4 linked regions of the Struthio camelus genome follow. The protein of the gene in region 1 interacts with the protein of each later gene in a pairwise test. Links are inferred from orthologs where the notes say so. Each region holds a gene or a part of one and is shown in the gene's direction. Other genes may lie near its edges. The genes, in order: phospholipid scramblase 1, GLRX3, CRY1 and RGS3.

Region 1 (7,285 bases):
AAAGGTATGTTGCAAAGTGGAGAGCAATGACACGTCAGGTTTATCTACGTTTCAGTAGGGCATTTTCATAAGAGCTACTGTTTAATACTTGATAATGTGGTTTCACAAAATGATGGTTTCAACAGCAGATTGGCTTGTGGGGGGGCAGTTCCTGACCATATAGTCTCTTCTCACCATCCCATAAAGTGCCTCCTTTTAAAGTTTCTTTTTCTTTCCTTCATACTACTGATAACTCAGATATGACCTACTTATTTACCTTTATTTCTTAATTTCTTTGCTCCCAGTTGCCCCTTTTGCTCTGACTGTGATTTTATATTGCTAGTTTCTAGAGATAGTATTTCTATACCTCTTTTCACTTTTTTTTTTCTTTTTTGCTGGAACCATCTCTCTCAGCTATCTGCAAGGCCTCCTCAGAAGAGTTAGCCAAATTCTTGGTATCAAATGGTTCAATTTTTTGAAGGACAGATAAAATACTCAGTAGTCTACTTTAAATTTAAAGAATTGCAAACAGTTACAAGGTTATGTTTAGAGAATAGAAGTGTTATAGAAGAAGTGTTCCTTCTAGCTGATTATAAATTTTTCAAGAAAACATATCTGTATTTGTAAATTTGGGACTTTGTTGATCTCTCTCTACTGTTTCTGTTTTCATTTCTGGGACACAATGAGCAATTGAGTAGTGTCTCGTTTTTCAGATATTACTGGCTTTGAAACAGTTATGAAATCAAAATACACAAATGTATAGCAAAGAATGTATTTTGCAGCAGGCAAACAATTTTTTTCCCCTAAGTTCTTATACGTATTCTTATTACTCCTCTTCATGAAAGTTTAGAGGAGAAAAGATACCAGTGCAAAGACCTTTCGCACAGCTTTGCTGCTGCTGTTCTTGCAACAGTTACTTTTCTCGCTGTCCACTATCTTTAAAGATTCCGCAAATTAGGTTTTCATTTTGACTTATCACAAGACACAGAGACTGTAGCCATAATTTTAGGGTATTGATTTTTTTTTCCCCTCTGAATTACTTTAGGTGACCTTCATCCACTTTGACGGAACATTTTGACCTGCCTTGTGTACCCAAGGTACCCAAGGCCTTAATGATTTGAACACTTAGACAGAGAAGACACCTAAGATCATGTTCCCCTCAATGTCCTCCACATACACTGTCTACACAACATTTGTAAAGACTGGACGCCGGTAGGCACAAATCTAATGTCAAATCTGGGATAGCTATGAATCAATTTAGAATTTTGAATATATTTGAGTAATAATGCCTAAAGAAAAGCCTAGACTGATTGACGCTGGATCTTCAAGAATTTTCATGCTGAGAGCTGTGCAGTTGGACACACTAATTGATGTCTTCCATCTGAAAATCTCAACAGAAAACTTGAAATGGTGCACAGTTAAATGCCAAATGAGTCTACCTCATCGTTAAGGCAAAAACAGGGGTTTAAAGATGTTCAACTGGATAAATTATTAGTCTAAAAGAATGTTTTATAGCTTTCATTTTCCTTAGTTAATTGGAATTGTTAATATTCAAATTGTTAAAGCTACTGAAAAATACCCAGCGTTTTTAATTATGTCTGTATTTTATTAGAGTCAAATCCTGACAGCTACTGTGCCCCCATCTTTCTTGGAGAAGCTGTCTTGATTGGTGCTTGCTTTCTTACTGTAAGTGTCTAATTCATGCTCTAGAACCTTTAAGCCCTGAATTCTCTTCATCTGTAACTTCAAGGTATATAGATACAATGTGATCCAAGGTGAATGGCAGTACCTTTGCTGCAGAGATATTCAAAGGTGTGGGATCTGGTGAAGATAATTTCATTTTTTGCACTACCTAGGTGATGGGCTTATATTTAATGTGGTATGAAATACTTCATGTTTCAGAGTCATGCTACACTCTATGAAGTCCTTGACATTTTGATCAATGTATTTTAAGAATTAGCTAGCTAGTCCTTAATACAGAAGGAGCAGGCTTTTTATTTCTTGTGAAAACATCACGCTTTTTTGTTTCTACTAATCCATCAGACAGGATGATCTTCATAGATAATAGAGCTTGTCTGAAAGCAGTCCTAAGCCTTGTGTAGTGGGAATGGATAATGAAAGAAAGGGATAGCAACAGCCCGCAGATGGAAACATCAGAAGTGTGTTTTGCTACTGTAGATGCCATATTTAGACCCTTATTGACAGAACAGAACTATTCTTTGCTCTATTTTATAATTCTGCTGTCCTGAAAATAAGGTTTGCATAATGTATCTCCTTAGTTTTTTACCTGCACCTGATACAGGTAAATGAATGCATGTAACAATATCCAAGAGTTCTGAAGAATAAAAGGCATGACTTTTAAGCGTTTGAACAGCAATTCAGAAGTGCCTAATAGCTTTTTTTGATCAAAATCATTGAAGAAACTAGCAGAAGAATTCACTATTAAATTTAAAATTTAAGAAAATATCTTGTTAGTCTCTGAAATGAGGATTCTCATTTCAGAGAATCCTGCTTTTATACAAGATAAATTCTAAAAAGTGACATTTAAAGAAATCTCTCTGCAAGGCAATCCTCTTGAGTGTTATATTACTTTCTCTGTAACCCAGGAACATTTTGTGATTATCAGGAATAAGCATTGCATGAGTCTACGATGACCCTTATAAAATCAGGCATTTCCGTTTTAGATTCATCACTAATCTATGTAATGTTGATGTTGATTGCATCTCTGATAATCTTTAACCTGAAAATATTTTGAATGCAAAACATATTTTATTAGTAAAGTAACTCTCTTCATAAAAAACTGAGCTGTAAGGGAAGGGTTTAGCATTTCCCATGATCCAACAACAAATCTACCAACAAATGAGGTACTTCTGTGAAATGTAACTTTATGCCTGTCGTCTTGAAAAGTATGGTAAATTTTACTTAACAGAAACCTTGATGAGCCTTTGCTTTTAGGTGGTAGAGTGCAAAACATAGCAGTGTGTGACGGTTGCAGAGCAATCCTCTCCTGGGACAAAAACCCTAGTTGCACAGGTGAGAGGCCTACTGAGAGTCTTTGCTGACTTTCTTCTCAGGGCTCCCTGTTCCCTTCATCACTATATCGGTCCACTCTATTATAGATTAAGGATGGTGAGTAGCTCTGTAGAGCCTATGTGGAAGCAGGAAAGTGCAGTAAATTTGGGACCACCTGCAGACTGTATTTGTACACAGTTTGGAAGGCAGACATGTTGTGGGTCCTTCTTGGATTTGAGGTTGTAAGGTTAAATTTATTATCAAAAAAGTGAAGAAATGAATAGGTGTCTCCAGTCCTAATTCCAGTTCTCACATCACGTATGTCTGCATAGCAACATGAAATTGTCCCTTTTTGTAAGACTCACTCCCAAGGTAGCCTTTTAGAGGCAGATGTTTTCAAAATAAAGCAGCTTTAGAAGTTATAGAAACTTTTAGAAAGTTTGGACCTTTTCAGACTTAAAGACAGTGTTTCTTTAAGAATATGAATCCGTTGTACTGCATCTTTATTTCTCCAGTTAATACCCTTATATTAAAAAGAAATATTATGTAGTATCAGACATCAAAATAAAAAATAAGGCAATCATTTCCTCAGCTGACCTGTTTTCAGAAAATCTTTCAGAAACAGGGCATCAGCGGAAGTACCAATCAAAGGTTTTTTCTTCTATTGTCACGTGTTTTCAAGAAACCAGGTGTTGTTAGCGAATGTTTAGATTGTACGGGAAGCTGCTTTTCACACAGGAGAAGGTGATAGTGTAAAGATTATAGGAAGGCTGAGATATTTGCTTAGGATTATCCTTTATGGTGAATAATCATTTGATAGTACATATAAAAGTTAATATTTACATGGGCAAGTTTGACTCCCCATACCTCCTCCACGAAATACCGTAGTGATCTGAATTTTAGAAGTTATACGGAGTTAGCAGTGACGTTACCACCTTAAACCGCAAGAAAACCTTGCAAGAAACACTGCTCATCACTTAAATGCTTGACCCTATGTCCCGCTGCCATGAGACAGTCGAAGACGGCAGCTGAATGAGGCGACGGCGTCTCTTCGTGGGGCTCCCAGTGCCGCCAGGGATGTCGGAGCTGTTTGCAGCGGGGGGAGATGACGGAGGAGGACTAGGCGGAAATCTGCGGGCAGTGCTCGGTCGAAAGTCGCTCGTAAATATGATTTCATACTGGCAGGGGGAGAACGGGCCGCTCCCCGCCCGCTGCCGCGGCTCGGCGGGGCGGCCCCCTCGGGGCGGCTCGGGGCGGCCCGGCACCGCCCGGCCCCCCCGCCCGCCGCGGCTGCCTCTTAGGGCCGGACCGGGCCGCGGCGCTGGGCGGCTCGAGCCGGGGTTGGTGCGGCGTGGCGGCTCGCTCGGGGTGAGGGCGGCGGGAGAGCGGCTCCTCTTCCTCGGGGACGGGTATTTTGGCTGAGAACGTAAGGATCTGTGTACCGTGTGTGTCGCCTTCTAGGCGGTCCTCTGAGTTGTCTCTCCTCGTTTCCTCCCAGCACTGCTTAATGGTTAGGTAGGCTGCAAAAGGGGTTTGATGTTTGCTAGTCGGTGACTGAGAGTGAAGCTAAAAACGCGTCTCCTTAGCAACGGTTACTTGCCAGAGCTGTCAAAATAACACTGTGGTTCGCAAAGAGGAGCTTATGCGGAGGCTTGCCTAGCGAGCGCCGTGCCAGGCTGCGCTGCGAGTCGGACTGCGGTACGGCTGTTGCGCCGGGCGCCTGCCAGCCCCCTCCGAGATCGGCCCTCGCCGCTGGCAGCCTGCGTGCCCCGGCCTCTGCGTGATCTGCTGCCGGGTGGGTTTTTTCCCTGCTCTCGGGTGTTGTGACCCCCAGGTTTTGGGGGAGATGTCTTTGTGAGGGGAGGGGGTACCTCGCTGCACCAGAACAAAATAACTTTATATCAACTTATAGTTCGTTTTGTTCCTTCTTGGAAACTGTTTGTTAAATTTAACAAACAAATATCTGTTTTGTTAGATTAACTTGATTTCTAAGATGTTGTTTCACAAGCAGTCAAGGTTAAATAAAATCCAATGGCTAATGTGATGGGTGTGACGAAAAGAAGTGCCTTACAGCTATTTGGCTCTGTAAGTGTGTTCTCCCAGTCGTGAACCTTCTCGGGAATGGCCCTGTGTTGGTATTTAAATGACTGAGCGTGACGTTTGTACTTGTGCAGCTTACGTTCATATGCTCGTGGTACTGTTTTAGTGACTTGAATGAGAACGGTAACTGTTCGTCATAAATGAAACCAATGTGCTTTTTTTGATAACGGAGTGGAAGCTCTGTAGTTAACTTCATGAAGACATACCTAATTTCTCTGCTAATTACCACATATCTACTGACATGCAACAGGATAAGAGAGATCTAGAAACTGAAGCAGTGTCATGCAGCTCTGAAAATGAGAAAACAACTGAGAAAGAGTCTGCCATTCCTTAAAAAGAAAGGAAAAAAAAAACAGGGGGAAGGGGGGACAGTCTAGGAACGTTATTTCCTTACTATTCTGTAAACTGGAACTGTTCTGTTATGATTTCCTTTAGAGATGGTATTTCCTCCGCTTCCTTTCCAAAAGTTTTTGGCTGTTTTTAGGTGCCTAGGCTCAACCCCCACTGGATGGGGAAGAGCACCGTGCTCTGGGCATCTGCATCCATCTAATGGTTACTTCTGTGTTGCCCCTTTGAATAACAATTCTGCCAGGCCAGGAAGATAAGGAACTGGCCAGCTATGCTAGTGTTAAGTGAAAGGTTTTAGGCTGTCTATGGAAATGAGTGCAGATTCTGAGAGCAAAGAGAAGAGTTTAGGAACTCTTATGGATGAGGAGGAAGAAATGGCAATACTAGCCCTGGATACCTAACGCGTAGAGGGATATGAGGAAATGAGACTTCTTGATTTTAGTTTCTTTCTCCTGTAAGTAGCACAGCATATGAAGCATGTGGGTCTTGGATTGACGACAGCTTGCTGACCTGCAGCTGAACCGCTGTCCTTGACAGTTGGAGGGCTGCGTATGTGTGGTTTCTTTAGTTTCCTTTCTGCACTGCAGTAATTGAAGTCGGAAGTCACACTGCAGGGTTAAATTGGTGTTTTTCATGACAGTTAGCTTTGCAGCTTACGCTGGAAGTTGCTGCCCTTCTCAATCTCATTTTGTAGGCGTAGCGGAGGAAGCAGGGAGGCCTCACAAGATTCAGAGGCCATATTTCATAATTGTAGTTAACAGACAGCTGCTTTGCATCAATTGTCCCCAGAGCCCTCAATGCTTCCTTCTTGCTAGCAAAATCACTTCTGCTTTTGCCTGCTATGTCCCCTCCTCCAGGGAAAAGAGGATATATTTCTCTTGCCTATGTTCTCTTCAAGATAGTGGACTCAGAGCTATGAATTATTGTGTGAATTTCGGTCAGAAAAGGGCAAAACTGAACAGAGCATTTAGGATTTTCCTGGTATCTGCTCTCATGCGTAGCCCTGCAGTGAAGCACCTGCAGCAGCTCTTTAAGCAGCCCGTTAGTGGGTCAGCGTCAGCGAGGCTCTGCTCTCTCCACCCTCCTTGCCTGCCCACGCGCACTTCAGCTGGGGGCAGGTGTTCCCCATGTTTATTGAAAAATTGCTGCTAGAACTAGGAAGACCGACCTGTTTGTAAAGTCTCTTTTCACTAAACTGTCTGCTAGATGAAACTGTAGACTTCAAATTATTGGTCTTGCATGGCTTTGTGTCGCTGAGGCAGCTGAAACCAGCACATTTCTAAAGCAACCAGTCTGCCTGTTGTCTGCCTATGTTTTCTTGACCGTAAGTTTCAGCAGATGGGAATTTCCCCTCCTGTAATAGCCTGCCCGAGGAAGATATTGCATAATACAAGGACTGGAAAAAAATGAGCTTTCATTCCTCCTCCTTTTGGTTCTTCAGAATATTTTATTGTTTCACAAGCTTTATTGATTATCTGCGAGAAGAGCAGAGTGTTGCTGGTATTGTTTGTTACTCTTGGCAACTGAATTGGAGGCAGCAAAAGGAGTCAAGGTGAAAGCAGCAAGCAGAAGCAGCAAATATTTTTATTAAAAGTAATCTTAACTCTTCAGCGACTTTTCTGATAACATGGGAGCCGAACTTTGTAAAAGCTTTGTTCCTCTTCTGGGCTGTGTATCACAATAGTTTCTAAACCAGATTCCACAGAGAAGTCTGTGTGTCTTTGTGGGAGAAAGATGATGATTCTGGGCCTTTCTCTTAAATAAATCATATGATTTATTTCTGTCTCTACTTTCCCAGGTTTATCGAAGGGTGCAGCTGTAATTCTTCATATTTCACTGGCGTTCT
Region 2 (7,768 bases), on another chromosome or scaffold:
TTGCAAGATTTAAGCAGTTTAGTAACAAAGGTGGAAGAGATACAATTTACAAACCTTTTCAAAACATCCTGGGCTAGAGGTGACAGGTGTTAATTCCTCATGTGAATACATCTCCAGATACAATGTCTTATGCTTTCAACTAGAGCCTATCTGGTATTAGTAAAGCTCATGCTGTGTAAGGCAGTATGAGACAACTGCGTGCTAAGGAGTAGCTTGTTATCTGCCCATGTAGTACCAGGGCAGGAGCAGGTGAAAGTCATGATACTCTGTTGTTAAAAAAATCAAGCCCTTTACTTATTTTGTTGTACTCAGTGGTGTGGGTGGGTGATGTATTGTGCTATCCATTTCTCTTCTGTTTTAGTGCAGGTGTTAATATATGCTGCTAGATAAGAGAATAGGGCAGATATCCTGGTCAGAGTCTCAGGCACTAATTCTCAACCCTGTGTTCTGCAGGTGACCTGATGAAGAAAAGCTCCAGCAGAGGAACAGAGATTTAGTTTGGTTGTTAGAGGTAGCTTGTTGCCATCTACAGACTGTCAACTATCTTCGCAGTTGCTAAGCTCATAGTCAGACCTTTGCCTCTGGAGACTTTGACTTTTATTTGGAGTAGTTTGCTCTTTTTTGCATATATAGAGAAATTACTCTGTATCACCCCCAACATCACATTCTCAGATTCGGTTTTCTCACATTCTTTTGAGAAACTGAAGACTCACAAGTCTATGTTTTAAAGAAGTACCCTTATGAACTAGTCCCATGAGATTTCTTTAATGCATAACCCAAAAACTGAGCAGACTGTTTTTTGGCAAGGACTATTCCTTCTTTCATCTTTCACTCACCTTGTTCTTTCTTTCTAAGAATAACTTCCTTTTCTCTGTCATTGCACAGGCATTTTCTGACTATTGGCTCTATACCACGGTCTTCAAAGACCTCCAATCTACTAATAGCTATAACTTTATTTTCATTCTTCTCTCCATTTACTCAAATTTTTTTTTCCATTTCTCCATCATGCTCAGTTGCTAAATGCTTCTCTGTGCTTTCTCTACTGTTCTTAACTCCTTCCCTCATTTTGCATCGTACCAGGTAACTTAGGAGAAAGAATTTACCATTAGTAAATAGATTTAGTGATCACAGACCTGTCACACCTTCCAGCTTGTTTCCTCTTATATCTTGCTGAATGCTGCTGGAGAAACCCTTATGACTGTGGGAACTTCTGCAATTACAGACATTAGGTCTGTATCCTTAGGCCTTAGACTGGGACCCTAAGTTTGCTGTTTTCCTAGATGAAAATATCAGTATCTCTACATTTGCTATATTTCATTTCTTGTTAAATGTTCCCTCTTTTTGTTTCATTCTGTTTTCGTTGAGAAAACGAGTGATCTCTCATAGCTTTTTTCCACTCCTGTTATACTGTGACCTGACATGTCTTAGAGTGAATTCCTGTCTTTTTTCAGAATATTTGCTTTTTTTCCCCCCCAGTGTTCATACAATACATCTTCATCATCCAAACCTTTACATTGTCTAGATATGTATTTTTCATTTGATCTTGTGTCATGCATCCAGAAGTCCAAGTATAATATCTTTCTCGGTATTTTTGCCTATCATTAAGTTTTTTCAGACCCCTGTTATGGTATCCATTCTTACCATTGTCGGTGCCCTCTGCCTGGCTCCTCTTACCATATCATATTACACATTCTTACCATATCTAAGCATTTTTTTTTTCTGAACATGTTCAAGCCACCCTCAACTCCCTAGAATAAAAGGGAAGAATAAAACCCCCTTCTATGAACCAACATGCATGGTGGGAACATGTGGTTGCACACTATGTACTGAATCTCACCTTAGGTTCAGTGCAGGCCAGGGGGTTGTCCCTGAATATCTCCCACTACATAAATAAACGACTCTGCCTTGATTTATAAGGATTTTTTAAGGAGGGAAAGATTCCCATGTGATAATCATGTCACCTAATAGATAAGGCTTAAAGTCAGGGGCCCTAGCAAAAAACTCATACTCAAAAATAAAATAATTTTATCAAAACAAGTAATCTATTTTAGCATAGATTTTAACTTGTCTTTGAATGCAACCACCATTTCCCTCAAACTGTGTTTTTTTTTTTCCTAGGATCAATCTTAATTTGTACAGTCCAGTCAATCTCATGAGTTCAGACACTTAAGAAGCTATTTTTTTGCAAGTATCAACAAAAATATGCTATTCTCAATCACTCTGAGTAAGTGAGATGCCAAATTTGTGCATAATAAAAAGTCTTTTGGAGCAAAGGGCAGACCAGATTCCTCAAAGAATAGCTAGTGCTATATCAAAATAGAGAAAGACTGTAACCGGATAAAACAAGAAAAGGTGTTGCTTCTGTACATTCTAAAGCTGTTTATTTTTATTTTACGTACGCTGCTACACAGGTACTGACAAATAGTATTTCTATATAAAAACAATAGCTTGTGTATATCTTGAATACTTAGCAACTTTCAGCTACTTTAACTTCGTTAAGCTGGAATTATGCAGTCTCTCTACTGTCTCTTCCGTCTTTGTCTATGCATGGGTCAGGAAAACAGTATAAAGCACCAGTAACTTTTCTGCCACACATGAAGTAGTGTGTTCAGGGATCGTATAGAACTAGAATTATGTTAAAACACATCAGTATTTTATGGGGAATTCCCAGCTTGAATATAATAAAATCAAACCTCTGTCTGTAAGGAATATCCATTTCAGTACTTCAACAGAGCACTATAACATAGTTATTAGCAAATGTAAAGCCAAAACACAATTCTTTTGTAGACTGACATATTCAAGCAGAGCAAGAAAACATTAGCGGCACTGCAGAGCATCTATGCCACTTTAGCTACATCTTCAGCTTTTGTTTTATCCAGACTTGGGTATTGCCTCTGTAATCAAATTCTTTGCAACTTGAGGTGAGCAGTAGATCAACTGGGCACTATGGGAGGTTTGCCAGATTAATTTGGCCTGCTGCCTGTTGTTCAATCTGGAGTCGTTGAAGCCTTGGGTTTCCCTGGGACTGTGCTGCCAAATACTCCATATGGGATGCCCAGAAATATAGCCTAATGTTAGGGAGATTTAGTTCTCCTATGTCTCAGTGGGCCTATACATTTTTAACAGCAATCCTTATTTTTACCTTCCAAATGAACCTTGAAAAGGTCTTGTGAACCTTACTAAAGAAGGAGGTTTTAAATTACATGATGTAGTTGACATAGGCTACAGAGGAAGACATTTATTTTGAGAAGTTACATCCTACAGGTGAAGTAGCGTGAGTCATTCTTAAAACACAATTGTGTCATTTGGCTTTGGCCTGCAGACTAGAGAGTACAGTAGCCCTCAATTGCATATTAGGGTGATTTGAACAGCATATAGGCTACTATCATGCGTTGAATTCCTTTGCAGCAAAAAGTAGCTGCATTTGTTAAAAATCAGTTAAGCAATGGGACCAAAAATATGGAGAATATGTGACTTAATTATAACAGATAATTAGACTATAACACCATGTTTTACTACTGCAAAAATCACTCTGTTCCAGTAATATGTTTATCTACAATATATCCATAATTATTAGACAAAACAGAGTGAACATTTTGTGTGGTACCAGGTAACTGAAAAGGAGAAAAAAATACCCCGAGTAGATAGATTTGTTTGTGGAATTACATATTGCAGTCTTCTTAGACTTACTTTTAGAATAATATGTATGGTCTTATGTCACAACGTTGTATCCTATGCCACTCTACACAATCAAATGCCTTTTATTAGTCATGGAACAGGTGCGGGTGGAGATTATAAGCTGTTTGCTCTATGTTACAGGTTCTTAAATACATGAAATTTTTTATTATCCGAAATCAGATAAAATATGGGTGATCTGTAGGACATACTTATCTAACACAACAAATTTCGATTTCAAACAAATTTATATTCTTAGTTTACTCCAAATAAAAATCAGGCAAAAATTAGTGGGTTTTCCTTCTTTTGTGACTGAAGGGATCACTCCTTTTTGTAAGCTCTGAAACTGAGCAAAAGATGATGTGAAATCCCAAAGATGCTTTCCCTCAAGATTTTCTGTTCTTACAAATTTCTGATTATGTATTTTCTGTTACGTTAAAGTGGCAGTTCTTTTGGTCTATTTAAGTAACTTTCACAAATATGGGCTTTACGGACCACAAATGAGGAAATAAATGAGAAAAAGGGGATAAATGAGGAAATACGCAGAATCAGACCTTCTTCCCTCCGCTCATCTGAAACCATCCGAGAGACGCAGCGATCAGCGAGCAGGACTGAGTTTCTCCTACTTCTTATCGTGCCTGAGAAAAAAAGAATTTAAAAGAATTGCTGCTTGCATTGCAACGCCAGTTAAGATAAACCAATAGCTGTTAAGACGACGGCAGGAAATAAATAGCATTAATAACAGCTGGTCATAGGAAGACCAGCCGAAAGGAGAGGCGAAGCGCGCCCCGCGGAACACCGCTCCGCTTGGCTTCAGGGTGCTCTGAGGACAACCCTGGCGCGGACTCCGCCTTGTGTTGGCCTCATTCACCGCGTTACCTGTGTAACGCGCTGGCTCAGCGGAATTATGATTTAACGCCCGACTTGCGTTACCTCAGAGTAACCGTTTCTAACGGCGCAGGCCGCCCTCACGGGTCGGGGGGGGGTGAGGGGGGAGCTGCTCCTCGCCGCGTCGCCGCCATCAGCCCGCCCCGCGGCGCCTGCGCGGGAGCGGCACGGCGCCTGCGCGGAGCCGCGTGACGTCCTTCCCCCCGCCCCGTCTGCTTGCGTGCGGCCATGGCGGTGGTGGTGGCGGGCTCGGCCCAGCAGTTCCAAGAGCTGCTGCAGCAGCCGGACAGGTAGGAGGGGGGGTCTTCCTCCTCCTCCTCCTCCTCCTCCTCCTCCTCGGCGCCCCGAGGGGAGGCGAGGGGTCGGCAGGCGGGCCGCGGCGCCGTGAGGGGAGGCGAGGGGCGGGCGGGCCGCGGCGCCGTGAGGGGAGGCGAGGCGCGGCGCGGCGCGGCGCGGCTCCCTGAGGTGAGCTGAGGTGAGCGTAACGCGGCGCTGCGGGCAGCGGTGTCCCCTGCAGCGCGGAGCGCTGGGTGCTGGTGGCGGCTCTCCTCCCGGTGCCGCCGGTCTCGGGCGTTGATCCTGGCGGGGGGCTGGGGATCCCACCCCCGCGTCCTCGGCTGCGGTGGGCCGCAGAGGAGAAGAAGAGGAGCCGGGGTACGCCGGGGGCCGGGCCTGTGCCCCGCTTGTCCTGTGGGAGGGAAGGTGGGGCAGCTGTGGTGTTTTGTCTTTTAATCCCTGAGCTGAGTAGAGAGGTGAATAGGCCTTGTAAGGCATGTGAAAGCTTGATGCTGCCTTTAAAAAAAAAAAAAAAAAAAAAAAGCAAGCATCGAGCCTCATCTGGAGTGCTTTGTCCAATTCTGGGCTCCCCAGTCCAAGAGAGGGATGGCACTCCCGGAGAGAGTCCAGCAGAGGGCTATGAAGATGGTGAGGGGACTGGAGCATCTCTCCTAGGAAGAAAGGCTGAGAGAGCTGGACCTGTTTAGCCTGCAGAAGAGAAGACTGAGAGGGGATCTCATCAATGTCTGCAAGTATATGAAGCGGGGGTGTCGCGAGGATGGGGCCAGACTCTTCTCCATGGTGCCCAGCAACAGGACAAGAGGCAGCGGGCACAAACTGAAACACAGGAAGGTCCATCTGAACATGAGGAACAACTTCTTTCCTGTGAGGGTGACAGAGCACTGACACAGGTTGCCCAGAGAGGTGGTGGAGTCTCCTTCCCTGGAGATATTCAAAACCTGCCTGGACGCGATCCTGGGCAATGTGCTCTAGAGGACCCTGCTTGAGCAGGGGGGTTGGACTAGATGATCTCCAGAGGTCCCTTCCAACCTCAACCGTTCTGTGATTCTGTGCTAGCTGATTCGGCTGCTGAATCAGAAAGTGGCCTCTAAATGGAGAAGGAGAGAAAACTGATGAAATTACTCATTTAAAAGACTGGTGAAACTGCTAGTGTTGCTTTCCTACAGACAATATTAAAATATTGAAAAAATCTTGGTTGTGGGAAGAATGCACTCATATTTTTGGATATAGAGTTTCTGAGACTTTCTTCATGACTTCCAGTTTTCCTTGTCGGAATTGTGCTTCAGCTGAATTATTGCGTGGGAGTATCCAAGGGGGAAATACATAGAACAGCTCCAGGAGCAAGTATGGTATTTTGAAGTTATTTTCAACCACAAAAAAACATATTTCTCTTTTCCTCTGTCCTCTAAAACATGGTTCAGTTTTCTCTTTAAGGGATTTGATTATTTTACACTACCTTGGATCCTAGCGGGGATTGATAGTACTGATGATTCTTTTCTGCTTCAGTCAAAAAATATTGGACGTTGTTTTTTTGTTACTGCTAAGACACTTAAAAAAGCCAACAAACCTGCACTTAAAAGCACACAAATCCCCCAAATTAAAGTTTTTCTTATGGTCTCATCATCTCTTGATGGTGAATTTTTAAAATTAGAATTTAAAAAATAGATACTGGTTTCCTTAAGATACCTTCCATATTTAGATAATCACAGTGAATTTGAAAATTAATGATGTCAAAAAGTGGTTTTAAACATTGCTTTAAATAACGAAGTGAGACAGAAGAAAATTTATTGAAGGAAGTATTTTTCTTTTGAAAGTTAAAGCTTAAGGTAGAAGATACGTTGAATTTTTAAGGTCAGGCATAGTTCTGTTTCGTGAGTAAATTTGCTGTTTGGATAACCTTCCTGCTTTTCCAAACTAATAGAATTGCTGCCTTTGCGATACAACTACCACCATTTTATCTTTCAACCTAATTTCTTAAGATCTCTTGTTTCAGAAAGCTAATCTGTCTTACATCTGTTTTATTAGTAAGTTGTGTGTTACAGAGTAAGTATAAATTTTAAGGTTTATATTTTTCCAAAACATGCCTAGATTTCATAGGCTCATAAGATGAACAGAGCCAATGTCTTCAAAATTACTGAACCACTTTTATTATCACTCTGCAGTCTGTTCTTTTACCTAGACTACGTTTTAGAAAGATCAGTGTATAAAATTATTTTATTTGCATTACCTGTCAGTGGTAGCATATAAATATTTACAAAATACTTGCGTCTCAGCTTAAAAGGTGATTGACTTATGGAACAAAAATTTTCTGGATTTTCTCATTCAGAAAATGTCTTGCTATATTGGTTCTGCAGTAAATAGGCTTTTCATTTTAAAGATGTTTTGTGACTCCATCTCAAGCAAATCTTTCTCTTTTAAAAAAAAAAAAAACATTTTTAAATATAACAAAGACTGTGCTTTTCATCTATCCATAGAGAATGCATGATATATTCTTCTGCTTCCAGTCAAGTTTAACAAAAGTTACTGGGGATGAAGGACGTGGGCCCCTTATTTTTGGGCCCAAAGCTCCTCCGCCAAAATTTGAAATGTGAAATGACATAGGAAGAGAAAATTTGGGACTCATTATAACATTTTCATTACTGTGCTCTTTCTCATGACCATTATCTAGTGGTAGAGTTTGTAGAAATATCTTGGTTGAATGTAAGAAAAACTTTGTTTAGAATCACTTTATTATAATAATCACTTATGCACTTTATTTTGTTGACTCTTAATTTTTTCCTTTCTTATTGTTTTGAATTACTCTTGTCGTGTTTCAAGCTTAATTTATAATTGTCAGAAACTCAGGAAGCAGCGTAATTGCAAAACTAGTTAGACTTGTTCTGTGAATGAATTTGGCAAAAACAACCCT
Region 3 (7,963 bases), on another chromosome or scaffold:
AGGGTAACGGCTGCCGGGCGCCCCGCTCTCCCCCTCCCACCCCGGTCCCGCGTGGGTCCTCCCCACCCCCCGCCGCCGCCGCCGCCCTGACCTGGCTCGCCGCCGCCGTGCGCTGCGCGGCCGGGCCCAACGGCCGGTGCCGCCCGGGGGGGAGAGGGGGGAAGGCGGGGCGTGCGGCGCGGCGCGGCCGCCATGGCGGGGCGGTGCCGGGGGGGACGGAGCGGGGCAGGCGGCGGCGGGCGCTGCTCGAGGGACGGGTTTGGGGCTGTGCGCCCCGCGAGGACCAAGTGCCGCCGTCCCGTCCGGTAGCCGCGGTGCCTCCTTAGCCCTGCAGTGCCCCCTCGCCTTCCCCTCCCCCCCTCCTTCCCCGCCAGGATGAGACCGTGAGGGGCGGCCGTTGGCCACGGTGAGGGCTGGGGTGCCGCCGCGCCTGGTGCCGGCCCGAGGGCCCTGTCGCCTGCCCGGCCGCCAGGTTTCACAGCCCTGGCGGAAACAGGTTTTGCCCCCGAGACGGCTGGGGAGTTCGGCTGAAGTCAGCCTGCGTGTTGAAAAGCTGCTGGGTGAAGGAGTAGAGCCCCAAGGGACGGCGCGATGGCGGCACTCGTTCCCCCTCCTCACGAGACGGGCGGCGGGAGCCATGAGAGCTGCCGCGGGAGCGCCCGGTGGGTGAAGGCCAAACTCAAGAGAGCATCTCTAAAGCCCTACGTCCTGTCTGAATCTGGCGTATGTCGTTTCAGCCTTGTCTGCTTTCCAGTGAAACGTCAAAGTAACGGCCTCGCCAGCACCGTAGGCTGAGCAAATGGAGGTGCTCTCGTGCCCGGGAAGCTGCGCGTGGCCCATGAGGTCCATGAGGCAGCAGCACGGGAGCGCTTGTGAGCACACAGGAGCAAGTCCATGTGTCGGCGTGGGCTGCAGGGCTCCCTTTCACACCTGGCACCCGGAGCATAAATGTGCTGGGGTTTCTAAAAGGCCAACAGTCACCGTCAGTCCCTCCCTGGTGTGGCAGGAGCTGTAATCAGGATGGAAACAGGCTGGGGAAGTTGGGTTGGTGCCACGCGGTTCTCAGGGTGCCTGGCTCCCGTCAGTTCTGCTTCGTCATGTTTTCATTTACTGGTGCAAGGAGAAAGGGGAAAAAAATGCTTGACTCAACAGATCTCACAGGACTGAAGTACGGTTATTAAGTGGCTGTACTTTTAATTCTGAGTTTGCAGTAAACAAGGACTTTGCCATCCTCCAGATGCGACTTCAGTATGCTGTAGTTCATGCACTGATTCACGGTGTTTTTAATCGGAGTGAGGTAAATTGGATTGCAGTCTTTTTATCATGGAAAAACACCTGAGTTTCTTCCACCTGGTAAAATATTGACTTTGTTATGATTAGAAATGTTTGAAAGTGACCTACTAAGAGGTATTTCGATTTAAACAGCTCTCAAGCGAGTACTATTTAGTGTACTAAATAAAGCAAAATCCCTCATTTTTAAGTAGTAGTATGGTATCAAAGAAACAAACATTTGAAAATTAAGTTACTTGAGTGCCTGTGTTCCGATGGGAAGCAGATGATCCTGTTGATTCTGTAAAGGAGATGGCCTGTTTCTCGCGTTTATCCAAGTGGAACAGTGCTAGTGAGACTTACACCCTGTACAGTGCAATAGCTACCAAATAACACTATTCAGGAGATCAAAAGCAGTAGTGCTCCTGATACCAAATATGTTCTCTGCAAAGACTATTCTACTGTTTTGGAAAGCAGCACACTGAAAAAATCTTTTCAGGATCAAATTTTGCTGAGAGGCAACAACGATGTAATCATAGGAAGCTTCTCTTATATCAGTATATTTTCTTCCATATGATCACTGTACTTATCCCTAATAAAAAAATAAAAGTCATGTATATAGTCAATGGATTAACAGTTTTGCCAATGTTGTTGCAGAAGCTAAATGAGCTGTGACGGTGAGAATCTGCTTCCCGTATCTTACTCTGTTCAGCTGGTCACTTCTTTAGTTCACTTCTAAACTTAGAGTAAAAAATAGGCAAAGATGCAAATAATTTCTAGACTAGACAATTTTTCTAGGCAGTTAGCATTTTTAAAACCATCTAACTCAGGTCTGCATAATGCTGTACTTCAAAGAGTGAAAATTAGGACTGTTCGCTTTGAAAACGCTTCTTTTGTCAGCTACATTTTCAATAGTCTGTATTAGAGCAAAGTGTGAAAGAATTGCTATAGTATGCTCTACGGACCTTGCTCACGCTTGGTTTCCTACATGACTGCTGTTTCAATAACACTTAATTGTGAGTATGAGTGACATAACTGCATGCAATGGAGTTAAGACACATGGATATAAAAAACTCATCTGATTTTTTAATACACAATATATTCTGTTTACTCCTTGATGTTTTATTTTGTCCTTTCATGCCTTCATGTTGTCTTTTTTTTCCCCTTCTGATTCCTTCTCCTCTCCACTCTCTGGATTTCTGTTATCACAGCGTGAGCCAAGTTAGCTGAATTAGCAATACTGTTCTTTCAAAAGTTATCCACAAGAGAACACAGTAGTGGGCTTAACTTGTACAAGTTCCTTGATTAACTATCATTCTATTTTCTTTCTTCACCAACTTGAAGAGAGTGCCTCTTCCCTTGAGATCTGACATTTTAATTAATATATTCTTCATCTTCCTTCCACTTTTTAAATCAAAAACAATCAGTCGAGAATGGAAGGTATGGATAGAGCTGAACGGTGTTTTGACATGCTGCTATGCTAATTACAGTTGTTATTTAATCTGTAGTGATAAACAGCTTACAGAGTGATGGTTTTCATGGTTGTAATTTGGTTATGAAACCATAAATTCCTGCAAGGGAGGGTTGCTTCCACCTCAGTTTAATAGTTTTACACGTTAACATTTTGAAGAAGGCAGATCAGTTGACACTGAACTTTCTTTAGGGCCATGGTTTGTTGCTCAGTGTCACAGCCTTGTAAGGAGCTAGCAGGGAACATAAGATACAAGGCTTCTGACTGATGATCTTAGAGAGGCTTGAAAAAGCAGCTTAGAAGTTTTAAATAAAAACTATATCGTAAGGTGACTTTCCTTGAAAATAAGCTTTCTTCTTCAGTGTGCTCAAATATTATACAATTAAAAGGAATTTAATGGGAAGTGGGTATTAACTACTGAGATGTTTTTTTCATTCTTTTCTACTTTATTTATTTGAAAATCAGTCACCAAAGATTTGACATTTCTTAACAACTGAACAAGCAAGGAACCCATAGGTTCCTCTTGGACCAGAATGATGAGCCGTGCAATCTAATGTTACATATATGACAAAATAATAGTGGAAAACCTCATAATAATTTATACTACTGTTAAGTTACTGTTAAATGCTTAAGGAAAGGTGGTCCACCATACTTTTTAGAGAGAAGGTTTCTACAATATCAAATAGCAAAGGGCTCTTATCATGGTTAGGGCCTTTTCTGTTAGCAGCTTTGCTAACAGTATGGACATTTTATGAAGTCATTCAAGGTGAGGAAAGAAGAGCATCAAGGGAAGCACGATGCGTTATGTGTTACTTTTTATTGACTGTGGGTTTGACTTTTTCATACCTAAGCAGAAAAAATATTTCAGTAGAAACTCCAATTCTGAGATTTAAAATACTTTCCTACTCTGGAATTCCGGAAGTCAAGGGAGGTAAGTACTGCAAGTGCATGTCCATTTTACTGTAGAGTCATTATTTGTAGTGAGATCTGTCTTGCTGTTGCTGTTTATGGAAAGCACTAGAAGCCGTAGGCTAAGTTATAATTCATACACGAAGGTTTGCTTTCGGACGTGCATACAGAGCTGCTCTGTAGGGCCTTGAAATTGCTATACTGAGTCCCATCAGTAGGACACCTCATGCCAGGCGGCTGAGACCTGAGTAAAAGTAAGAAAAGCTGCACCACGCAGGCATCTTTTAGCTCTGTACTTAAAAGGGAACGACATGTTAGATATACACCATTTGCTAATAATGACGCTGCTGACAGTGCTAGAGACCATTTTAACTCCTTTTACTTCTCACTACTCTCCTGAAGACGTATTTCCTTTCCACAGCTCTGGCACAGGCGAGCTGCACAGCCGCGTTTGCTCTGCCTTTGTTCCGTGTCCCCCCCCTCCCCCGCCCCCCGTTTTTGCACACCACCTCCGTACCGCTGCGGCCAAGGGGTAAAATTACTTCGTCCGCTTCGTAAGCGACGAAACGTATCTTAAAATGAGGGGGAACTCCCTCCTCCGCCTCCCCCCTCCTCCTCCTCCTCCTCAGGCAGGGACGCCTGGCCGAAGCACCGGGGGGGGGGAGGGGGGAAGGGCGACGTGCGAGGGCGGCCGGGCCGGGCCGAGGTGCGGCCCCGGAGCTCCTCGGCGGCGCTGGGCTCCCTACGTGGATACTTACATAACCGTCCCGGCCCGTCCCGGCACACAGGAGACGGCAGCAGCAACTCCGCCTCCCCCCGGTCACCCCCGCCGCGGCCGTTACGAGTTTGGGGCGGGACCGCGCATGCGCTCTGCGCGCCGAGCGTTATACATAACTGGTCACGGGCACCGCCCCCCCTCCGCGCGTGCGCACACATGTCCCCCCCAACCCCTGGCGCCGCCAGGATAGCGGCGCCTCCAAGGGCCTCCTCCGAGCCCCGTGCTCATCCGGGGCCCGGCGCCCCGCGCGGGGTGGGGGGAGGGGGCGCGGCCTCTACCCGCGGCGCCCCTCCCCGCCGCGGCCCGGTCCCTCGCACCGCCCCAGGCGGGTGGGATTCCCGCCGGGGCCGCTGGCTCCCCCGGTTGCCCGCCGCCGCCGCTGGCGGGAGCGGGGCCGAGCGCGCCGCGGCGGAGCCTCTGCCCGCCGCCTCTTCCCTCCGCGGCTAGTAAACACACTTCAGAAACGTGAGGGCTGGCGGTCACGTGGGGGCGGGGCAGGCCAATCAGGGGCGGGGGGCGGGGCGCGGCGGCTGGTGGAGCCCCGCGCAGAGTCACAGGGCGAGCGGCGAGGCAGCAGCAGCGCCAACGGCCGCTGCTTCCCGGGAGCGGAGCCACTGCCGGACCTCTCCGCCCCGCTGCTTCTCTTCCCCTCCCCGCGGCGCGGGGAGATGCGTCTCCGCCGGGCGGTCGGCGCCGTCTCCGCCGGGTCCTAGAGCCGCCTGAGGTGAGGCCGCGTCCCGGCTCCGCCAGCGCTCCGCTCCCCGCGGCGGCGGCCCCGGGGACCCCGCGCCGCTCCCGCTCCTCTCCCGGCGGGGCGGCGGCCGCTGCTCGCCCCGGCGCTGAGCCATGAGCGGCCCCGCGGGCGACGGCTCCCGCTGAGCGCCCGCCGGGCCCGCGGCGGCGGCATGGGGGTGAACGCCGTGCACTGGTTCCGCAAGGGGCTGCGGCTCCACGACAACCCGGCGCTGCGCGAGTGCATCCAGGGCGCCGACACGGTCCGCTGCGTCTACATCCTCGACCCCTGGTTCGCCGGCTCCTCCAACGTGGGCATCAACAGGTGGCGGTGAGTGCGGGGGACGGGGGGGGGGCGGCGGGCCCAGGCCCCCGGTTATGTATGCGGTCACGCTGCCCGCTGCCATCCCCGCCCTCCCGCGCCGCCCGGCTGCCTCCCAATTGGGCCGCTGCCCCGCCGCGGCTCCGCGCGCGTCCCCGCGGGCGGCGGCCGTTACATATCCAGCCCGCGTGCCAGCCCGGCCGGCGGCTGCCGCGGGGGGAGGGGAGGGGGGGGACTCGCCACCAGCGCGTCAGCCCCGCGCGGGCGGGCGGCGGGGGGGGGGGAAGGGGGAAGGGAGGGGGCGGCGGCGGCGGCGGCGACTCCGCGCTTCCCGCCGCAGCCGCGCGGCGGCCTCCAGCCGGCCCGGCAGCCGCCTCCCGAGCAGCCCGGGCTGGCAGCCAGAGCCCCCACTTGCAGTGCTGCGCTCCTGCACGTACCCCTGTGGGAGAGAGAGAGGGGAAGCTTTTGGATGAGTTCAGAAGTAAACTCTCAGGTTATCTTCCCCGTAGGGATAGGGTGTTCGGTGCTCCTTTCGGGAGCATGCAGTTCTTGCACCTTTGGGCCAGGTGTGCTCCTCCTTTAAATATAAAGCTGAACTTTTTGCTGTGGAGCGGTGGCTGGCATCCAGTATGGAAACGTATGCCATCTTAAGACAGAAGTTAATGGGACTTCTGTGCATGCATATCTTGTGAGATTGCATTAAACAGCAGTAATAACTTTATTTTCTTTTTAAAAAATAACTGATAATGTGGTAGAGTTCTTCTGTCATCCATCTAAGAATGGCAGGAATTTCAGATACTCGTGAACTTAGTCTGCACAGACCACAATGCTGAGAGGAGTTGACTAATTATGGAATGAGCACAGTATAACTGGACTGCACCCAATGTCATGATGGGATGGCTGTCAAAGTAGAGCTACTTGTTTTTTTAGTTCAGTTTTCTTAAGGATTATTTCTTTCAGCTGTAATACCTTCTCTCCCAGATCATTAAATACTTTACCAGGAAGTTGGTTTCTCTCTCTCTCTCTCTCTCGACATCTTGAAGTTTTCATTATGGCCATATCTCTGGTTTAAGGAAGATACAAATATTAAGAATAGGCTTTCTGTGATCTTTAACTTGATGGTTATTCCATTTTCATTGACAAGAACGAGGTGCATACCACTTAATAATTGTAAGGTAATTCCCTTATCTGAGGATCATAATGTATACTTCTTTTACAGAGACTTTTAAAGATTCTTGCTTGTTTTGAAGGAGATAATTTTTCTTGTGTAACAAATCTGAACGTTATAAACAAAGTTCAGAGGTTGTATGTAGTCTTTACAGATAAAGTGTGAAAAGCTACTTAAGTTTTAAAAGAATGCAGCCAAATTGCGTGTCCAGAATACTTCACAGGTTTCTAATGTATTTCATAACTGAAAAAACAGAGAGAGCTGAACCATTCTTGGTCATATTTTGTGAGCTAGTGAGTGATAGACAAATGTGAACTTTATGATCCTAGCAAAAGGGAATCCATCTCTCTAATGCTACTGCCTTAGTTTTCCAATGGCTGTTTAGTATGATCTTCACTTAATACAGTCCTAGAATACATTTATGCATAATAAATCAGCAGATGCTCAACAAATGCATTTACTTTAACGGTTCTCAGTGGTACAAAAGACAGTCGATCCTTGCACTGAATTTTACATTTGAAGTAAAACATCTCTTAGTTGTTGGTCAGAGAGGGTGGGTTTCTTTTCAAGGAGAGGTATTTACTTATCTTTCAGTCCATTTTTGAGGAGGGGATTCTTCTCCCTACAAAAATGAAGAAATCATAGAAGGAGGGTCAGTTGTAACACCCCTACCCTCAAAGCACTTCAAACAATATCCTGGATTTTGAATACCCCAAGGCACATGCTGTGCATGGATTTGAATAGATCTCACTCCTTCCATAGTCCGGTTTTGTGAGATTTCCAGTTTTCTCAAGTTTTTTTTTAAAAAAAAAAGTGAGTTTTATAAAATAACTAGCTGCTGGAACTTCATACTTACTAGAGTGATCTCAGTAAATTCTTATTTCAATGAACAGTTCATAGTTTGGAATTAAACCAGTTTAGGTGCCAGTAGTTACAATGTGAGTGTTTTACAGCTGGCTAAGAATAGCTCATTTGTAGTATGCATACTGAAGACCTGTGAAGTGATACTTTTTTATTTGATTTGCCAGTCTCATTCAGTGCTTGGTATTGATAATCAAGCATTTTAGCTCCTTGGTCACTGGATGACTTCCTTGCTTATATGCATGTGGAATAGAGTGTTGAATTGGTCAAAAAACATTTTATTTGAGATTAGGAGCAGAAGCCCCTCAGCATCTGGAACTTGAATCTAAATTTAGTCTTCTGCTGTGGGTTTACAGTGATCCTCCCATATGTATGGGTTGATTTACCTTAAGAGAGTTTATGTTCTGATGAGTTTAGGAACCTAACACCTCGGGTGCTCTCTCTCCTCTTGCA
Region 4 (7,307 bases), on another chromosome or scaffold:
AAAAGGAGCAAGTGTGATACTACTGCAAGTTTCAGACTAAATATTTCTAAAGACTTGATATCACCCTGGACATTACTGTGGACAGCCTGAGGACAGGTCAGAGACACTGGGCCAAGTCCAGCAGGCTCACTCCAAACTCCTCCTGAACTTAAGGTTTGTAAATTTTGTCTTGAGGAATAGGGCTTACGTCATGAAATATCAATGACCTAAAGCTGGAGCATCCAGGATAATCATCCAGGCTCCTTGGTAGTTCGTGGAAGGAGCTAGTGTACCCGCTAACTCAGACCTGCCTTTGAGAGCCCAGGGTAGGTGAGAGGAAGCCCATCCATCATGGTTTCAGTCTCACGTTCTGTGCTCTGGGTACATTATCTTGTTCTGTTTGACTGAACACAGTGGCCTGAGGCACTTGAGGGCAATGCCTGTCCCCTGTCACGTCCTCTTCTTTTATCCTCTGGCCAGGTGTTGAAGAGCACAGGCAACCTTTGACAAGAAAAGGGAGCCAAGACTATGTATATTCCAGCGGCGCTGTGAGCCGGGAGGACGGTACATGGGCACTGTGCCACATCCAGGGAGTCCAGTACCCAGGCAGAGCGGTTCCGCTATCCGAAGAGGAATTTGAAGATGACCCTTCCTACAAACTGCCGCCGCCTCCGCCTCCTTCTCCGTGCCTACAGGAGGACTATAATGAGATTTCTTCAGGGGGAAACCCCTGCCTTTGAAGGACACAGCAATCAAGACAGTCTTCTCCATTAACCCTTCATCAAACAATGGCTGAGGGAACCTGTCCTGACACTGGCCTGCTCCTGTCTCAGCTCCTGTCTCGCCTTGTGTTTAGGCCCCTTCCACTGTGTTTCCCTTGCCACAGGGCAGGTGACGGAAGTGGCCCGGCAGTTTCTGCAGTCTGTAAACATTTGGGACAGGTACAAATCTCTGAGTTCTGAAAATTAAAGAAGAGCTTCTCACCCCCTCTCCTGTTTCTGTGCTGCGCGTTGGCTTCCAAAGAGGAGCTAGTCTGTTGAGCAGCTCGAATACGCGCCATGGCCTGGCTGTAGCTGCCTTAATATCCTGTGTCAAGAAAATCGCATTTACCCACCCACTCCATAGGGCAGACCGGCGCAGTAGGCCAGGGCTCAAGCACTGTGCTAGCTCAGGGAATGAGTGGGGCTGAGCAATGACCACTCCAAACAGGAACCTGTGGGAGCAAGCCTTGGCCACTGGTAGTGCTGCGAGAGGTACCGGGCTGCCTCCTGGGCACATGGGAGGTCCCACTGGCAGCACTCCCTGGCCTACAGCACAGAGGTTTGGCAGGCAGGATGCGGGCATGGGGCTCCTGCCCTCCTCCCGGTAGCTGAAGGCAGCAGAGCGAAAGGGGTTTGTCATGGCACTTCCTGGAGTTTTCCAAAGGACAGGGGTGAAATGCATTATTTTGAGCACTCAAGGCATCCTGGCATCCAGGGAGAGAAAGTGGGTCTGTCATCCCCTGTCCCTGCTTGGCTCTCCAGCGTGCAGGTGAACCCAAGAGCCGTGCTCTTGGCAGATCTCTTGGGGGCACGTTCGTTCCTCCGCTCTGCTGCCCGACTGGTCGCAGACCTGCAGCTGCACCCAGAGCCCTGCCTTAGGGATCCTGCTTTGCGCCTGGATCTCCGCTTTCCTGGGGAGAAGTCTGATCTAAACTTAAAGGCTGGTGTAGCTTCACTATGGAAGTTCTCACCGCTTTTTTAGCAGGGAGGATAGATAGATTTCCAGCTTGAATTTTGTAGAAGCCGTGTCTATCCTCAAGTTTGTCCCCTTGTCTATCTGCTTTCCCTTTTGCTGTTTATAGTTTATGCTCTATCTCTTGGCCTGAAGCGTCCAAACATTTGTTTCTAAAGCATGTTTCTCCCCGGATCATGCCTTCTGTTTTTTCCACCTGCCTTCTGAACTGCTGTGGTGTTTTCCTGGCACCCCAGTTATTAGTGCTCTCAGTCCCTTTATTATCGCTTCCTATTTTATACGATATTCCTTGGCTTTTGCCTGCCAGAATGCTCTCAGCTCTCTCCGCTGCAGAGCAGCATGCCTTCTGATTTCCAGACACCTGTATGTGACCACTCTCCTGGATATAAAATTACCCAGAAGATGTGTCTTAGAATTATTTAATTTATAGCGAATGATTTCGGCAGAGGAGAACAGGCAAACCCCCGACGGGGACCTGGGCTGCCGGCAGCGCTGTCCTGCAGTGGGACCCAGCTCCAGCGGGGGAGGCAGAGGAACGGGCGAAGGCTGCGCTTAGTGCACGGGCCGGGAGCCTCTTTCTCTTGCGACTCTTTTGGCATGTGAGTCCTGAGGCTTTTCCTGGAGATATTGTCAGCGGGGGCCTCCCTCCCATGCGCTGAGAAAGGGGGAAGCACACCTACTTTTGGCATCCCTCGCCTTGTCTGGGGAATCAGCATCCTCAAGCCCCGGGTGCTGCCTGCGTGTGATGCAGCCAGGCTGCCCTGCACCCTGCGGGTGGGTCCGCTGGCGCCGGAGCCTCCTGCGCAGCCTCGTGTTTAGGCAGAACTTGAACTTTTCCTCTTCAAGCCTTCTCTCCTCTCTCCCCTTTCCAGACATTCGCAATATCCCATTAATCTGTATGCTGCTCTGAACAGGGCCTCCCTCCTGGGGTTTGGGGTCTATCGCCCCAGAGCCTGTGTTTGCAGGGTTATGTCGTAGGAAAGTTGCCTGGCTGGACCTCCTCGCTGGGGCAGCCTGGGCGCCCTGACAACGCCATGCCTGATGGCGAAGGCGAGTGTCCGAGGGCTGCAGAGCACAACGGTCCTGGCAGGGAGATTTTACTCTCTGGCAATCCCCCAAAACAACTGCAGTAAAGAGAGCATCTACCCCTGACTTGGGAGCGGGGCCCTCGCGGTCTCCTCCTTCGCCCCTTCAGAGGCTCTGGGCACCTACCCAACGCAGTTTGAAGCAGGAGAGGATGTTTGTCTGTCTGTGAGAAGAAGTGCCCTGTGGCTTTAGCTGGCAGGAGCCCCTTGGAAAGAGCAGTTCCCAAGGCTCGGAGTTGCCTGGACTTGGCCGTTTGCAGGGGAGCATCAAGTGTTGCTGCTGAACGGTACTCGCAGAGACTGGCTGTGAGGGAGGTGGGTGTTACCCGTCTTATTTGGAGCTTTGCATGCTGGTTTTTAAAAGATTATAGAGCTATAAACTTGTGTTGGAGGAGGACGGTGGAGGATGCAGAGGCGCAGCAGCTCGGAGCTGACTGTCGCTGCTGGGGGGCTCCAGGCTCGATGCCCTGAGCCGGCTGTAATTTGATTTGGGGGATGAATGGTGGGTGGGAGATGCTGCAGAGGGAAAGGGCAACTTTGTGTGTCTTGGCAGCGGGCAAGAGCAGCTCAGGAGGAATTTGCTAACGTTGGATCAGTGTCGGTTTAAACTCTCTAACAGGGTTTGAATCCTGCTGCGAGGGCAGTTTTGCGGGTGCTTGGAGCGCGGGGTGCATCTGCCGTGCAAACCTGCCCGCAGGATGAGCAGACGGGGCTGCGATTTGGTAAAGCAGCGGCGAGGATCGCACCGGGGTGCAGTGGGGATGCTGCTGCAGGCGCTGCGCCTGGCACTGGGACTTGGGCTTCAGCGGGACGTGCAGACTCTGGCGTCTGAACAGAGCGGTCACGAGGTTTCTGAAGAGACCCTTGCAGCAGGGGAAACCTTTCCAGGGTCCCAAGTGGGAAAGAGATGTAGTTGTCGGCCAGCCTGTGGCTCTGTTGGATTCCTCCTTGGCATTTTTCAGGGAACAATTCAGCTGTGCTTGCTGCAGAGGTGGTGCTGGAGGACAGGAGCACCCCACCTCTGCCCGGCACCAGTGATGCTTGCTGTAGACCCCAGGGGAAAGACTGCAGCAATCCAGCTGCTGGCAAAGCGCTGAGTTTTTCTGTGTCTGCCCTGTGTGGCAGACTTTGCTAAGAATAAATCTGCCTGCAGGATTGCCACAAAATAGCCCAAACCTACTCTGTTCCTAAAAATCCACTTTTCATTTGAGAAGTGAAGTAGTTTTTCCCGGTCAGTACAATCTGCTTTAGTTTCTAGTCAAAGCAAGCTTCAGCCTTGTGAGCTTTTTGTGTGCATGTGGTATCCTTTAGCCTGGACTAACTGTCTAAGCATGTGTGTTTGGATTTGAATACCCAGTCAAAGGCAGATCCTAATGCTGGCAAACCGAAATCTGTAACGGAGAACCGTGTTAAATTTTAAAAGAAAGTCATTAACTCCCAAGCCAACCAGCTGAGTGTGCAGTCTGCTGGAGACTCTAGCAGAAACTGCAGGTTAAGGTCAGTCCCCAGGAGATTAAATGTTAAGAGGGAAGTTAGGAAGAGTCCCAGCCTTGCTGTTGGGAGCCTGTAGAGAGAGGGGCTGCTGCGCATGCAACTCCACCGACTCCTCCCTGCACACAGTTTAATGTGTAACTTTCCAGTTCTGGAGCTCTGCTCTTTTGGGACATTTATGTACCAAGTTTTCTGCTTCTTCTTCTTCTTTGGTGTCAAAGTCAAACGCCTGAGCGCAGGACGCCGGTGCTTGGACTTTGCTGGAGCAAGAGAGCATCCTGCCTGGGAATCATGGAGCAGCTGGGAAAGCCGGGGCTGACGCGTGAGTGCTCGGATGTTTTCTCTTAGTTTGCGGTACTGCTCTGTCTCCTGGGTGAAGGAAGAATTACGATTATGCAGGTGCCTACTTCTCACCACTGAAGCAGATCCTGGTGCTTGGAGGTGGTGAAGGACCATGTTCCCCGCACGCCCTTCACAGGGTGTCGGAGATGCCCAGCTCCCTGCAGGGTCGCATTTGCTGGTGGCAGGCCTCGAGGCTCTCCACTAGCACCTTGTGCTGCGGGACACAGAGGGCTGGAGCCTGCTGCATTTGAGAGCTAGGGCTGATTTTCACGGCTGGTGAGCTCTGAGCTCTCTGGGAGGAGGGTGCATGGGACTCCCATGGCCTTGCATTCCCAGAATCCCAGAGACTCTTCTTTACCTTTTCTATTTTTTTTTTAATGGGGTAAAAGCCCTACCTGATGGGATTCTCTCACCTAAACCTGTGGGACTGGCTGATTAAAGGGACAGTGCTCTCTTGTAACTGTGTCATTCATCCCTCCTTTCTCCTCTTAAAACCGTCTGCAATAAAGAAACGGAGAGGGGAGGCTTTGTGCAAGCCTGAGGAGTTCCCAGGAGACAGGGGTGGCACGTGAGACACATCTCGCCACTTGCTGGATGTGCAGTGGTGTGCCAGGGAGAGCGGCAGGCTCGGCAGCACCAGAGAGGAGCAATCCAAGCTGCGGTCTTGATGCCGCCATGGGGACACGCTGTGAAGGAGGTGAGGATGGGGCCTTTCATCCATATTGAAAGACATTCAGGATATGTGGGACCTCAAAGTGGCTCCCTTGCTCGCTCCCCCAGTAGGACTGCTTGGTGTTGGATATCCTGTGGGTCGAGATGTATTGTGCTGGTCATCGATAACTGGGGATGCTGTGTACTGAAACATATGCTGCCAGGCTGGATTTTTTTTCCCAGGTGCTAGTAAATTTGCTGGGACAAACCTTTGGTTTTGATGGGTGGGAGATGGAGGTCACTAGGAACGTCAGCAAGTGGATTCAGCTGAACAAAATGAGGGGAAGAGTTTTTGAAAAGCCTGAAGGGAGGGTTTGAAGTGCTAATTTCCCTTAGAACTTGCTCCATGTCCCCAAGTAGAGCCTGTCCCACGTATGCGCTGGCTCCTGATTGCCCAGGATGGGGCTTTGATGCCATTTGCCTGTGGTCTGGTGCATGTGATGCTCCAATGGCTTCTGGGGGATGTGGCGATGCAGGGATGGCAACAGGACCTTTCCTCAACCCTTCTGCACGGGGTGGCGGTAGCACTGACTCTAACCCAAGGCAGTCAGGGGTACCTCCGTCTGCAATCTTGCTGTTAGACACAGCTGTAAGAAAGGTGTTTGGAGCCTCTGTGATATTGTTCTGCAGAGCCCAGGGCTGGGATGGTGGGGAGTCCTGAGAGGGTGGGAGAGCTCCTCTACCATTTTGTAACATAAAACACACGTGATTCAGATCCTCTCCCAAGTCTTTTGGCAGTGCTGCTTGTGAAGCATGAAGGGGTTCATCCCTTCCCTGGCTCCAGGAGCAGGACCCGGCTGTGTCCAGGGCTCCTCTGCCCATGAGCGGATGTGTTAGAGGATGTGACGTCCCCAGTTTTAGCTTGTTACAACTCAGATAAACTCTTTGGGGCTGAAAGCTTCACTGCTGGGGAAAACTGGACCTGCTGCAGCACTGGGAGCTATGGGACCATGTAACTGCCAGGTAGCCACAAAGAGCATTTAGTTGCTGGCTGCGTCCATAGTTCGGACCGCTGTCACCAGGCTGCATCTCCTGCTCCCCTCTTGGGCCTCTGACAGTGTCAGCCTTGCTGGGAAAAGGGGATTCATCTTTCCCCTGTACCCAAATCCAGCAGCATCACGGGGAAGCACAGATGTGCTGGAGCTGCTGAGAAACCACAGCGGACGCGGGAGCTCCTGGCTCTGCCCATCCTGCAGGTGCTTCTGCTTGTCGAAATGGCCCACACTGCTTGGGCGTCCTCAGCATTTTAAGTAGGACTGCAAAGGTCACGCCGTTGCTAACGAACAAGCAGCAATTAACGAATGAATCCTGGCTTTGGTAGGGGCTCCCTCTGCAGCCCACCCTGAGCTCTAGGTCCCTGCAGCTGGAGGTGATGGGGGCAGAGCTGGAGCCTCTGGGCTCCCAGCCGTGTCTGCTGAAAGGCCAAGTGGCCAGAAGGCTGCCCAGGCCCCAAGCCCTACTGGAAGCCTCTTCTCTCGACAGCTCTCACCCATGGTTGGTGCCTGGCGCCCCTTCCCCTGGGCTGTGCCGTTCTCCGGGTGCAGGAGGCTCCAGCAATGCCGCATCGATGGGGATGGACCTGGTTCCCAGAGCAGGAAGGTGATTCTCATGCAGCTTGCGTAGACTCAGCTCTGGCCCCTCCTCACCATGGGGCAGGAGCTTTGCGTTGGATGTGTCTGCAGAAAATCCTTCTGGGCCCTCAAGGGCTATAAACATCTTGGGAGGCAAGAAAAGCAACCGGTGGCGTTAGCTGGCTGCTTGGCCAGGCATCTCCTCGGGGCTCCTGCTGGTTGCCAAGGGAAAGGCTGAGTGCCGGGGAGGCGGGCAGCCCGAACGGAGCCAAGCGCTTTGTCTGGAGGCCTTCGGAGAAGAACGTGTCGTTATGTGTCTCTCCTCCCGGCGCCCAAAGGGGCTGTGATTTATGGCAGCAGTACAATAGGTGTCTCTTGGCCACGATGAATTGGG

The links.
Region 2: the proteins of phospholipid scramblase 1 (region 1) and GLRX3 interact in binary tests that used the Homo sapiens proteins (3 or more experiments, as listed by UniProt). The two-hybrid records come from large-scale screens. The link is inferred for Struthio camelus from reciprocal best matches to the Homo sapiens genes PLSCR1 and GLRX3.
Region 3: the proteins of phospholipid scramblase 1 (region 1) and CRY1 interact in a two-hybrid assay, tested with the Homo sapiens proteins (2 studies listed by BioGRID and IntAct). The link is inferred for Struthio camelus from reciprocal best matches to the Homo sapiens genes PLSCR1 and CRY1.
Region 4: the proteins of phospholipid scramblase 1 (region 1) and RGS3 interact in binary tests that used the Homo sapiens proteins (3 or more experiments, as listed by UniProt). The two-hybrid records come from large-scale screens. The link is inferred for Struthio camelus from reciprocal best matches to the Homo sapiens genes PLSCR1 and RGS3.

Annotation. Positions count from the first base shown.
Region 1 is NC_090950.1:16,852,200-16,859,484, reverse strand, and holds the start of phospholipid scramblase 1, read left to right. Parts: upstream 1-4,278; 5' UTR 4,279-4,417; exon of another isoform or gene 4,418-4,786; intron 4,787-4,875; exon of another isoform or gene 4,876-6,763; intron 6,764-7,237; 5' UTR 7,238-7,285. UniProt on the Homo sapiens protein: Catalyzes calcium-induced ATP-independent rapid bidirectional and non-specific movement of phospholipids (lipid scrambling or lipid flip-flop) between the inner and outer leaflet of the plasma membrane resulting in collapse of the phospholipid asymmetry which leads to phosphatidylserine externalization on the cell surface.
Region 2 is NC_090948.1:1,878,497-1,886,264, reverse strand, and holds the start of GLRX3 (glutaredoxin-3), read left to right. Parts: upstream 1-4,762; 5' UTR 4,763-4,791; coding exon of another isoform or gene 4,792-4,853; intron 4,854-4,961; exon of another isoform or gene 4,962-5,028; intron 5,029-5,433; 5' UTR 5,434-6,204; intron 6,205-7,768. UniProt on the Homo sapiens protein: Together with BOLA2, acts as a cytosolic iron-sulfur (Fe-S) cluster assembly factor that facilitates [2Fe-2S] cluster insertion into a subset of cytosolic proteins.
Region 3 is NC_090942.1:61,486,251-61,494,213, reverse strand, and holds the start of CRY1 (cryptochrome-1), read left to right. Parts: upstream 1-4,963; 5' UTR 4,964-5,151; intron 5,152-5,278; 5' UTR 5,279-5,332; coding exon 5,333-5,490; intron 5,491-7,963.
Region 4 is NC_090961.1:12,237,635-12,244,941, forward strand, and holds the start of RGS3 (regulator of G-protein signaling 3), read left to right. Parts: upstream 1-4,298; 5' UTR 4,299-4,580; coding exon of another isoform or gene 4,581-4,611; 5' UTR 4,612-5,225; coding exon 5,226-5,328; intron 5,329-7,307. Other genes in the region: C20H9orf43 (uncharacterized protein C9orf43 homolog), read left to right, coding at 460-719. UniProt on the Homo sapiens protein: Down-regulates signaling from heterotrimeric G-proteins by increasing the GTPase activity of the alpha subunits, thereby driving them into their inactive GDP-bound form.